Arabidopsis thaliana: one gene and its partners. The protein of the gene in region 2 interacts with the protein of the main gene of each other region in a pairwise test. Each region holds a gene or a part of one and is shown on either strand. Other genes may lie near its edges. The genes, in order: RBL14, PIP1C and PIN6.

What was found.
Region 1: the proteins of PIP1C (region 2) and RBL14 interact in a protein complementation assay, tested with the Arabidopsis thaliana proteins (one large-scale study listed by BioGRID).
Region 3: the proteins of PIP1C (region 2) and PIN6 interact in a protein complementation assay, tested with the Arabidopsis thaliana proteins (one large-scale study listed by BioGRID).

What each region holds. Positions count from the first base shown.
Region 1 is NC_003074.8:6,023,186-6,026,940, forward strand, and holds RBL14 (RHOMBOID-like protein 14), read left to right. Parts: upstream 1-1,610; 5' UTR 1,611-1,760; coding exon 1,761-1,976; exon of another isoform or gene 1,977-2,199; coding exon 2,200-2,988; 3' UTR 2,989-3,312; downstream 3,313-3,755. Other genes in the region: HYH (HY5-homolog), read left to right, coding at 786-849, 923-1,109, 1,202-1,400; AT3G17620 (F-box and associated interaction domains-containing protein), read right to left, coding at 3,313-3,755. UniProt on the Arabidopsis thaliana protein: Probable rhomboid-type serine protease that catalyzes intramembrane proteolysis. May function in the heat-shock response pathway.
Region 2 is NC_003070.9:225,794-229,548, reverse strand, and holds the start of PIP1C (plasma membrane intrinsic protein 1C), read left to right. Parts: upstream 1-2,005; 5' UTR 2,006-2,372; coding exon 2,373-2,700; intron 2,701-2,857; coding exon 2,858-3,153; intron 3,154-3,237; coding exon 3,238-3,378; intron 3,379-3,467; coding exon 3,468-3,563; 3' UTR 3,564-3,755. Other genes in the region: AT1G01630 (Sec14p-like phosphatidylinositol transfer family protein), read right to left, coding at 1-120, 206-343. UniProt on the Arabidopsis thaliana protein: Water channel required to facilitate the transport of water across cell membrane. Its function is impaired by Hg(2+).
Region 3 is NC_003070.9:28,968,709-28,972,463, reverse strand, and holds the start of PIN6 (Auxin efflux carrier family protein), read right to left. Parts: upstream 1,751-3,755; 5' UTR 1,610-1,750; coding exon 1,179-1,609; intron 914-1,178; coding exon 282-913; intron 1-281. UniProt on the Arabidopsis thaliana protein: Component of the intracellular auxin-transport pathway. Regulates auxin transport and auxin homeostasis. Directly involved in the regulation of nectar production. Involved in unfolded protein response (UPR) activation.

The DNA of each region.
Region 1 (3,755 bases), on a different chromosome or scaffold from region 2:
CGCGCATAAGTCCACTATCTAATATGCAACCATTACGGTAGAAGTTTACTTGGTCCATTTTCATTGATAACAACAAAAAATCGTAAAACTTTAAAATTATGATGAAAAACGTAAAAAAGAACATGGGAAAATATATGGCGGAATCACAAAGCATGAAAAAATGCTTCGGAATGATTGACTGAATTTACAATTGGTAGAATTTAATTTTAAGAGATAACATTTAAAAATTCAAAACATTAGTTAGCTGTCTTTATACAAAAGAGTTATTTGTGTACCAAAAAATAGAAAACGAGATATATGACCACATGATGAGTTTATGCATGCCTATTACGCCATGCAAATAGATACACACACACATAGTTGTGCCTCTGACTTTGTCTGCAAGTACGTTTGTATGGTTCTAGACAGTAATTATTGTCCTAAACCCACACGCTCTGTGAATACTCACTAAAGGTTGTTTTCCGTAGAAATCATGAACAAAGACTTTAAAAGCAAAACAGAACAATAAATCAATTAATAAGTTCAACGGGATATAGTGGAAAAGAAAACACAGATACACACCATTGGATTGAAACAGTTGCATTTGTGGTCTTACATAAACCTACGTGTTCTTTTATAAGCCAACCAATACTTTTCTCTTTTTTTTTGTTTGAAACGAGTTGCAGACTTTGAGTGGCCCCAAAGAAGAAAGAAAAGATGCAATTTCCTTTGGTTTGATATTCTCTTCAACCTCTTACCTCTCTATTCTCGTCTTTAGCAAAATCTCAAAAGACAAAAAGATATTGATGTCTCTCCAACGACCCAATGGGAACTCGAGTTCGTCTTCTTCCCACAAGAAGCACAAAACTGGTAGGTGTTGAAAGAAACTTATCTAATATTTAACTTAATTTGGTTTAGAGAAATTGGTTTGTATAATTCTCAGAGGAAAGTGATGAGGAGTTGTTGATGGTTCCTGACATGGAAGCAGCTGGATCAACATGTGTTCTAAGCAGCAGCGCCGACGATGGAGTCAACAATCCGGAGCTTGACCAGACTCAAAATGGAGTCTCTACAGCTAAACGCCGCCGTGGAAGAAACCCTGTTGATAAAGAATATAGAAGCCTCAAGAGGTAATCAATGATGAGTAAAAAAACTTTTTTTTCTTAGCATTCGATTTGTGGAATTGAAATGGTAAAAAAGAAACTGTGGTGAAAAATTACAGATTATTGAGGAACAGAGTATCAGCGCAACAAGCAAGAGAGAGGAAGAAAGTGTATGTGAGTGATTTGGAATCAAGAGCTAATGAGTTACAGAACAACAATGACCAGCTCGAAGAGAAGATTTCTACTTTGACGAACGAGAACACAATGCTTCGTAAAATGCTTATTAACACAAGGCCTAAAACTGATGACAATCACTAAATATTTACCCTTTAATCCATTGTTCAGTGTTGTATGATTATCTTTCTTTCTTTTTTGGTTTTGGTTTGTATACACTTTTTGTTCGAATAACATTCACTTTGAGCATCATTGTCATTCAGATTTGCAAAATAAAGTAAAAAAAAACGAAAAAAGGCAAGAAGAGATTAGGTATAAAAACTAGAGTTCTAAAATGCCGTGGTGGGTCCCACATGTTCTTATGCGAGTGAAACGAAGAAGTCTCTGGAGAATTTGTTTTCGTAGAGACCAAGCTGCTGCTATATAAATATTGTGAAAGAGATGAGATTTTAATTACTTGTAAGTGATTCAGAGAGATCAGAAGAAAAGAATAATTACGAAGAAATGGAGAATTTTGGTGAAGGGAGAAGAAGTGGAGGCGGAATGTTGCCGTTGCTGGCTCTAAGCGCCGTCGCGGAGTACTATAGACTACCGTGGAAACCACCGGTGACGGCGAGTCTCCTGGCCGCGAACACTCTCGTTTATCTCAGGCCGGCGTTTATCGATCCCGTTATTCCTCACATCAGTGAGGTCTGGTTCAATCCTCACCTCATCTTCAAGGTAAACCAATCTTAATAAATTCCTTCATTCGCCAAGAGAAATTGATTGCAATTTGACCGATTTCGATCTGAAATTCGAATTTGAGTTTCCTGGGAAATTTGTACCAATATCTGGAGAATTAGGGATTTTGTTCTTCGATATCTAATTAGATCATTCTTGATTGATTAATTCTATTCTCTGTTAAAGTTTTTTTTTTTAATCTTGATGTGTATTTGTTGAACAGCATAAGGACTTGAAGCGTTTATTTCTATCAGCGTTCTACCATGTTAACGAGCCTCACTTAGTCTATAACATGATGTCACTTCTCTGGAAAGGTATCAAGCTTGAGACATCAATGGGAAGCAGTGAGTTTGCTTCAATGGTCTTTACTCTTATTGGTATGTCTCAAGGAGTCACATTGTTGTTAGCCAAATCGCTTCTTCTCTTGTTTGACTATGACAGAGCTTACTACAACGAGTATGCGGTTGGGTTCTCGGGTGTTCTCTTTGCTATGAAAGTTGTTCTTAATTCTCAAGCTGAGGATTACTCAAGTGTGTATGGTATCTTGGTTCCAACAAAGTATGCTGCTTGGGCAGAATTGATTCTAGTGCAGATGTTTGTACCTAACGCTTCGTTTCTTGGGCATTTGGGTGGAATCCTTGCTGGTATTATCTATTTGAAGCTGAAAGGTTCTTACTCAGGCTCAGATCCAGTCACTATGGCGGTTAGAGGTGTATCTCGATTGGTGACGTGGCCCTTGAGGTTTCTGAATGGTATGGTTAGGTCTCGGAGAAGGAGGATTACGGGGAGAGGAAGAGTGGGAAGAGGTCAGACTGGGATAGCAGGACCTGGTATTTGGAGATGTCAGTCGTGTACATATGACAATTCTGGTTGGTTAAGTGCTTGCGAGATGTGTGGCTCGGGACGGGCTAGAGGAAATGGATGGTCACTGAATCAGGGACCAGCACTTTCTTCTTCTAATGATCTCCCTTTAGATGAGCTGCGCCGTCGAAGAGTAGAGAGGTTTAGTTGATCTCGGGAGCGCATTCTTAAAGCTGAGGAAGGATTGTGAATGAAGCTTTGTTGAATCATTCATTGCATTAGCTTATGAATAGCAGAGTTAGTGGTCGTGTTTTTCGATCTGTTTCTTCAATTTGTCTTCTCTTTTGTTGTTGAAGATTTGGTTCTACGTGAACTGGTCCTTTGATTAGATTGCTGAAAGTAGCGAGTGATTCAGATAATATAGTATCTTCACACCAAACTTACAGTTTCACAGACTTTCGATTTTAACAAAATTTTATCCTATTTCAAACCAAATTTTGTTGAAAGAAGAAGATCACAAAGCAAGATATAAATGTTAATCAGTAATCAATTTCCCTTTTTTCTTCCTTTTGCCTCCTTGCTTGATTTGCGCTGAGCTTGGAACATACGAGCACACAAGTGGATCTCGAATTTTATCAGTAGTTTTTCCGAGATCCACTTCTTTGTAATATCCATCCTCTCCAATGATGTAAGCTGTGTTGTGAGTGGGATACATTACATCTTTGTCTTTAGCAAAGACTACAACAACTTTCTTCTCTTCGTCAATGATGAAACTCGCATCTGCAATTCCAAACTTAAAATCAGTGAGTGGTTGCATATCCACTGCTAAGAACAACTTGCTCCACATCACCTCTTCAGGTTCAATCTTAGTCGTAACCCAAATCTCCATATGTAAGTTGTCCTTACGCTGAAATAACACAGCAAGTTGCTCTTCTCTAACACTAGAAAGACTCACAGTATCTACATCCATAGGGTAAC
Region 2 (3,755 bases):
GTGCCCCTTTGGGAGCATGCTTCTCTTCCAAGTCAGGTAATTTAGAAACATCGTTGAAGCCTTTTCAATGTCCAGGTCACGCGCTCTCAGAAACCTCCTTATCATCAGATCATCCACCTCCTGCAAATCCAAATCATTAGGGCTTTTATCAAATCAATACTTTTCTGGTTGAATTCTTTTTTTACTTAAAGAAATCGATAGGGACCTTAGTTTCAGGATCTTGTCGGTCGCAGAGAGCTCTCATGATCCCGACTTTGCTCCTCTCGATCTCATCTTCGATCAACGGAACGGTCTTTTGCTCAGCTGCTGCTGCTGGTTCTTGCTTGGTCTCTTTGTTTTCCATTACGTTTCTCCTGTGAGCGACGACCAGATCTTGAAATTGGTAGAGAGAAGAAAGAAGTAGGATCGATCATAAATGAAGACAGCTGCTGAGAGAAAGATTTTAAGTGTCATTCAATGCAAAGTTGGGCTGCTTTCCCCTTCAATGGCGACGCTCACCAACTACTCTCTTCCTTACAAAAATTCTACTCATTTATTGACTAATCCCAGGTCCCCGACTCTACAGGAAGAAGACGATTATATCGTATTGGGCCTTATTAGAGCCTATTGGGCTCGAGTTGATTTGTCGTAAAGACTTGGTCTGTGGTTTAATCAATCTCTCATGCCTCAAAGTGTTGACTGATTCAGAGGCCGTTTTAGTGTTTTGAGCCCACGTCAGAAGCTTGTCTGTCGTCTGTGTGTATAAAACAAAATTCAATTCACGATTTTTTAAAATATTGATCGTATCTTTTTCCACATGTATGTAAGCAATGAAGGATCTGCTTCGTTGCAAAATATTAGTTTTTCTTTTGATAGGCATGTACCAACTAAGTACCAGCTACGTACACAGACAAAGTCAGTAACAATTAAAATTCATCAACCTAGTCATTGCTTGTTCATCAATCAACCTAATCATTTGTTTGCTTGTTAAATAACAATGCCAACGTTATTATTTCTATTTCTATACTATCATACATTCATACGGTCCACGCCTCTAACAAAAAAAGATATTGATAAAATTTAAAAGATAGATAATTCGATGAAATGAATTATAATGAAATGTGATTTGTACAACTGAGAAAGGATGTCATATACGGACTTTGGTCGGGACCGCCCCAGTAAACACCACCAACACATATTTGCCTCTTCAACCACGTGTCGTGATTCTGTTGGTTGGGCAGCTAGACGACTGTGATGTGTGTGTGTGGGTTGCGTTTCGAAAAATGGCAAACCCCACCACTAGTTCAATAAAAGGTGTTTCTTAATCATATAGTTTAGCTTCGGATTATTTGTTTCCCTTTTCAGTTTTTTAAAAATCGATATCTACAATAGAGTTAATCTGTTTATAAATTCAATTATTGTTCGGGTAAGACAACATCAACAAAACTAATAGGGTTTGAATCCTAAACACTAAACTCCATTTAACTAGTAAAGTATGGCTCATATAGCGTTAAAAATATGTGAATTGATAACAACAACAGAGTTTTGAATTTTATTTTTGTTAGGTTTGAATAGATTGATAGAAAAAGGAAAGTGGGAATAGGGAAACGAACATGTGATCACAGAAAAGCAAAATCCATTTCTGAGCTGGAAACCCCCGCAAAATTGAACCTTATCTCCAATTTTCATTTTCTTTTTTTCTAAAATATATATCGTTTAATTGAAAAACCTCAAATTCACAATCATTGTGATTATTTTGTCACTAGTAGTACACATAGTAATTTAATTAAACATTTTAAAAATACTCTAGGCCCGGCACAATGTTCGAGACTATGTTACTTTACATAAAGCAATCGCTTTCCACACACTTCTTTTCCTTTTCTTCTCCAACGGTCGGAAGTAAATTATTAATTCGTCGACTAGTCAAAAAGTTAGTCCTTTGTGAGTTTTCTGGCACTGTAATATTTTTTTTTACATTTCTAACTGCTGACTGAGTAGTACTCCTGTAGCAAGGCATTTGAGAATAAATTAGGTCAAACATGCTATCTTTATAAGGAGTTTCAGAATATAATACTAATAGTTAGCCAACGCAACAGAATTAGTATAAGCGTGGGTTGTGTTACATGATTAAACATCATCAAGTAGTAGGCTATTACAATTATTAACGTAAATAAATATGCTTTTACGAAGATCATCGTTATCCATGATTCCCTGTATTTCTCATTATTTAAATATATCATAATAGTTTCGAGACGTTAGTTTTTTTTGCTTTTTCTATTCTCTCTCTCTCTCGCCTCTATAAAACCATTCTTTCTCTATCTCAGCCACTCTCATTACCCATTGTAGAAAAGAAGAAAAAAAGCAAAGAACACTTGAACGTTTTCTAGATAGAGATGGAAGGGAAAGAAGAGGATGTTCGAGTGGGAGCTAACAAGTTCCCGGAGAGGCAACCGATAGGTACATCGGCTCAGACGGACAAAGACTACAAGGAGCCACCACCAGCTCCATTTTTCGAGCCAGGCGAGCTGAGTTCGTGGTCCTTCTACAGAGCCGGAATCGCCGAGTTCATAGCCACCTTCCTGTTTCTATACATAACAGTATTGACAGTGATGGGAGTGAAGAGAGCACCAAACATGTGTGCCTCTGTTGGAATCCAAGGCATTGCTTGGGCTTTCGGTGGCATGATCTTTGCCCTTGTCTACTGTACTGCTGGAATCTCTGGTAACCCCATTTTTTTTATCTTCTTAATACAAGTAGAATTGGTCTTTTGTTGCATGCTTCAAACCCTTGTAGCTCTGCTTTTAGTTTTCGATTTTTCTCAAAGAGATCTTAATTTAGAGTTGATTCTGATGAGTGTGTGTGTGTGTGTGTTTCACAGGTGGGCACATAAACCCAGCGGTGACATTTGGTCTGTTCTTGGCTCGTAAGCTGTCATTGACGAGAGCTGTCTTTTACATCGTGATGCAATGTCTCGGAGCCATCTGCGGCGCCGGAGTTGTCAAAGGCTTCCAGCCAAATCCTTACCAAACTCTCGGCGGAGGAGCCAACACAGTCGCTCACGGCTACACTAAGGGCTCTGGTTTGGGTGCTGAGATAATCGGAACCTTCGTCCTTGTCTACACGGTCTTCTCCGCCACTGACGCCAAGAGAAGCGCTCGTGACTCCCACGTTCCGGTATAATTTTGTTTTGATTCCTCTTAATTTATTGTTTTGGGTGTTTAGAAAAAGATTCATAATTTAGGGTTATTTTTTTTGCAGATTTTGGCACCACTCCCAATCGGATTCGCTGTGTTCTTGGTTCACTTGGCGACGATTCCAATCACCGGAACAGGAATTAACCCAGCTAGGAGTCTTGGAGCTGCAATCATCTACAACAAGGACCACGCTTGGGACGACCACGTGAGTACCCCATTACATCATTTGGTTGATTTGTCTTTCTATATGTCTTTGTCACTTTGGTTTGATTGTGGTTTGATTGTGGTTTGCAGTGGATATTCTGGGTCGGACCATTCATTGGAGCAGCTCTTGCGGCTCTTTACCACCAACTTGTCATCAGAGCCATTCCATTCAAGTCCAGATCCTGATTTGATTTCTTTCTTTATAAAACTTCATTGTTGCATCTTGGTTTGTAATTGAGCTTGAAAATATTTGAGAGATCTGGATCATGTGTTTATTTTAATTAATGGACTTGTCTTTTTCTTATTTGCTGTGGATGATCTGGTTTTATCGTTAAATGGAGTTTGATATTATGATTGATTTGGTACGATTTTAATTTT
Region 3 (3,755 bases), about 29 Mb from region 2:
TAAGTGGGATTTAGTGACTATTACTTATAAATTTTATAAAATTAGATTGAATTTCTAATTAGTTAATTCCTAGGGATTTGGAAAGTAAAAGAGACAATGCTAAGTTTTTTTATTTCTGAAAAGCTGCATTTTATGTAGTCTATCAATGTTTTTCTATTCATTAAATCTTTTAAAAGAACCAATGATAAAGAAAAACACGAAAAGAGAAGAAAATTGACTAAACGCCGTCGTGTCAGTGCTAACGAAAAACGAAAACGACACATCTTTCAAAGAAAACGTACCATTGATATCTTTGGCTGCATGTCTTTGCCCAGACTCCCACATCATCTTCGGCGAAGATTGCCGGTATATTCTCCCGGCGGCAGGAGATTTCATCCAAACCGGCGTACCGTTTCCGTTAACGTCAAGCTCGTTAAAGTTCGAGGCACGTGGTGTTGGCTGCAACGAGTAAGCATCGGAGGAAGCATAACCCGAGAGCCTTCTAGGACTTGCACCTAATCCGGGTCGAGTAAATCCGAACCCGCCTAAATCTCCGTTACAAAACATGATCTCGTTACTACCGTTATAAAACTGAAGGGTACCGCTTCCTCCTCCGCCGTGGAAGAAACGGTTATTAGGAGTGTTGACGGAGAAAATCTCGGCGTTAGAAAGATTAGAGGCTCTAGGGGTTAAGCACAAGGAGGAGGACATAACAGAATCAGGTACGGATGATACGGACCGTCGGATCCTGAGCCTGATCCGACCGTTAACATCGGTTTCAGTTTCTGTACGGAGCGGATCCATGCCGTCTAAGGAAATGACGTCATCGTCGACTTGGATCTTGGCGATTGATCCGGCTGCTTGACCCGGAAACTCTGCTCGGATAAGCAACCTCGCTGCTCGGAGTTCAAAGAGGAATAGTAGCAGAGTATACCTATACATGTATATACACTTAGCTTATATTATCATACGTTATAATTAAATAATTCAACTAATAAGAAGCTTGGGTTAGTAAAAACATTTGATTTGGTTGAATTATATCCTAGAGTAACGAAATTCATTTAAGTTTTGGTTACAAAATCCATGAAAAAATGTGTGGTAAAAATATGTGAAATCACAAAATAATTCCATTATTATGAGGTTTTCTAATCAATCACAGGGTAAATGAATAAAGAACGGATAGTAATTTGATAACGTACCAAATGATGCATTGAAGAACAACGAGTTGGACCATGAGGGTTTGAGTGTAATCTCCATACATGGCCTGAAGCAAAGGTATGCCCATAACGAGAGTGTTAGGGAGAGTAGCGATTGAGAATAGAGTGATGAGCCAATCGAGACCACCGGCTTTGAAGAAAACGGCCCATAGAGAGAGCAAAACGAAGACGAAGATTTTGGACAAAGTGTCGGCGAGGATGAACATTGTGTCCATTTTGTAAGGGTTGTTTTGTGAGATGAAGTGGAAAGAGAGGACTGGGACGGCGAAAACGGAGACAAAACGGTTGATTCCGGAACATTGCGCCGGCGTGAAGATCTTGCACCACTTTACCGATCCATAAGCCACGAACATGGCGAAGTAGAGTGGTGCCATGGCACACATCACCGTGTAGAATTCGTTTCCCGTTATCATCTTTTTCTTTGCCTCTTCTTCTTCTTGGTATGTACTATGTAGGTTAAGTTATGTGCCAAATGTTTGTGTGTTGGGTTATATAGAGACTTGTTGACGAGATTACCCCTTAGTTAGCTTCGTTATGAAATTGCATTAGGGAGGGATTAGTGATTATTATATAGATTGGTAAAATACTGCTGCTATACATATATAGTTGGAAATCTATATATAAAGCACTTTCTTTTTCTGGACCTCATCATTATTTTAATCTCTAAAATTCTCATTAAATAGACTCATCACAATTTTAAAATTAATTAATAAGTTGATTTGTTACTCTTTTTTTTTTTTAATTCAACTTCATAATTAAATTATTGAAAATCTAATCCAAACCGGGAAAAAGATTTTAATAGAATATTTAGAATAACTTCATGCAATAGATTTGCTTTGTAACCCGTATAATCATTCTCAATATGTACACGCATAAGTCTCTTATTTCAGAAATCTATATAATAAACAAAATTTCGTAATTCAAGAAAAAAGTACACTTTGTTTACCCAAAATTGAAAATTCTGTGTTTTGCTTAAGTGAGCTTTGCACCCTTATTATTGACCTAACTCTTTTGTTTTCTTTTCTCTTATTTTTACTTTTACAGTATTTTCACTTTTAGCAAGTGTATATCTACTTTTGCAGTATTTTACACTTTTTGCATACAGTTGCAGCAAACTCGGATAAAAAATATCTGTTTATCCAAAACTATCACACTTGGTGTCTTGTCGAAATAGGCTTTCACCCAAATTATCCCCCTAACTCTTTTGTTTTCTTTTATTGATTATTAAACTTCTTATTTCTGGTGTGTTTTATGACGAAAAGCTATATGACTATTCAATTCAAAATCTACTAGAAATACATGCACGAAAAATGAAGATAAAGTATATACTTCAAATTTGAAGCTTTCTAGTTAAAGCTACGGAAATTGGTCAGTCATTAATGACATGACAATTTCCATTTTGTTTTTGTCTCATGCAACTCTTTTGATGTATCTTCCCACCATTATATACCTCGTCTCGCTATGCTCAAGAACAATATCATGAAATTCGTCTTTTAACATATAAAAGAACCAGTTATCAATTATTCAAAAAACAAATTAAAACAATCAATAATGAAGTAGAGTCAGGTTTACTAATTTTCTTAAAATATGGAAAGCTAACATATCTGAAACTAGAAAATGTTTGGAACTTCTGACCATATAAAAGGAATGTAATGAGCTTCTTGTACTAACAATACATATGTCACAATTAAGCAAAGGGTCCACAGAGACATGATTACCTTGTTCTTAATTTATTCACATAGATATACAGAAATTGTACATATATACATAAAGAAAGTGAAAGGAGATCCTCATAGAATCTAAGATCAATGATATCGGCGAAATGGGTGGAGACTTACAGTGTTAGCCTTTTACTCTCAAGCTTAAAAGCCTTTAGCCTTTAGCCTTTTGGCAATTGCAAGAACTAAGTCATACGTAACCTTTTTCTTATAAAATAAATAATTTACTTTGTCAACGAAAGGCTACAAAAAAGTTTGGGATTATTGATTCCGTCCTATATATCTAACCTAAGATAAATATTAAGTAACCCTACTTTCTAACCAAAATGTGCAGACAAGAGTTATGTAGGATAATATATATAATCACTTATAGTTATGATTATTTTCCCCGATGGGTAATGGCATCAAAGCCTCATGTAACCTATATTGTCTGTATATATTAGTACACACATGAATCTGACTAAAACAATTCAGGATAAGCAAGTTTGTTTGTTTCTCGACGACTAGCGAAGCTGTCTTTATCATTCTATATCGTAATGTTATGTCACCTCGTCTCTTTACGTTACCACCAAAGTATACACACGCATATACATATGAAAACACTATGGTTTAAACATTATTAACGAGGTCTTCACTAATATTTTGGAAATATTTATCTAAAAAAGAACAAAAAACTGAGGAAAAAGATGGAAAAAAGAAGGTATGATGATGAGAATGAAGACTAAGAGGAAGCGCATGGGATCGAGGAAAGGGGAAAAAATATGAATAGAAGTGAGATTATTGGTAGGTTAGAAAATCAAATCAAATTCAAGTGCGAAAAATGATGGTTTCATTTCAAAAT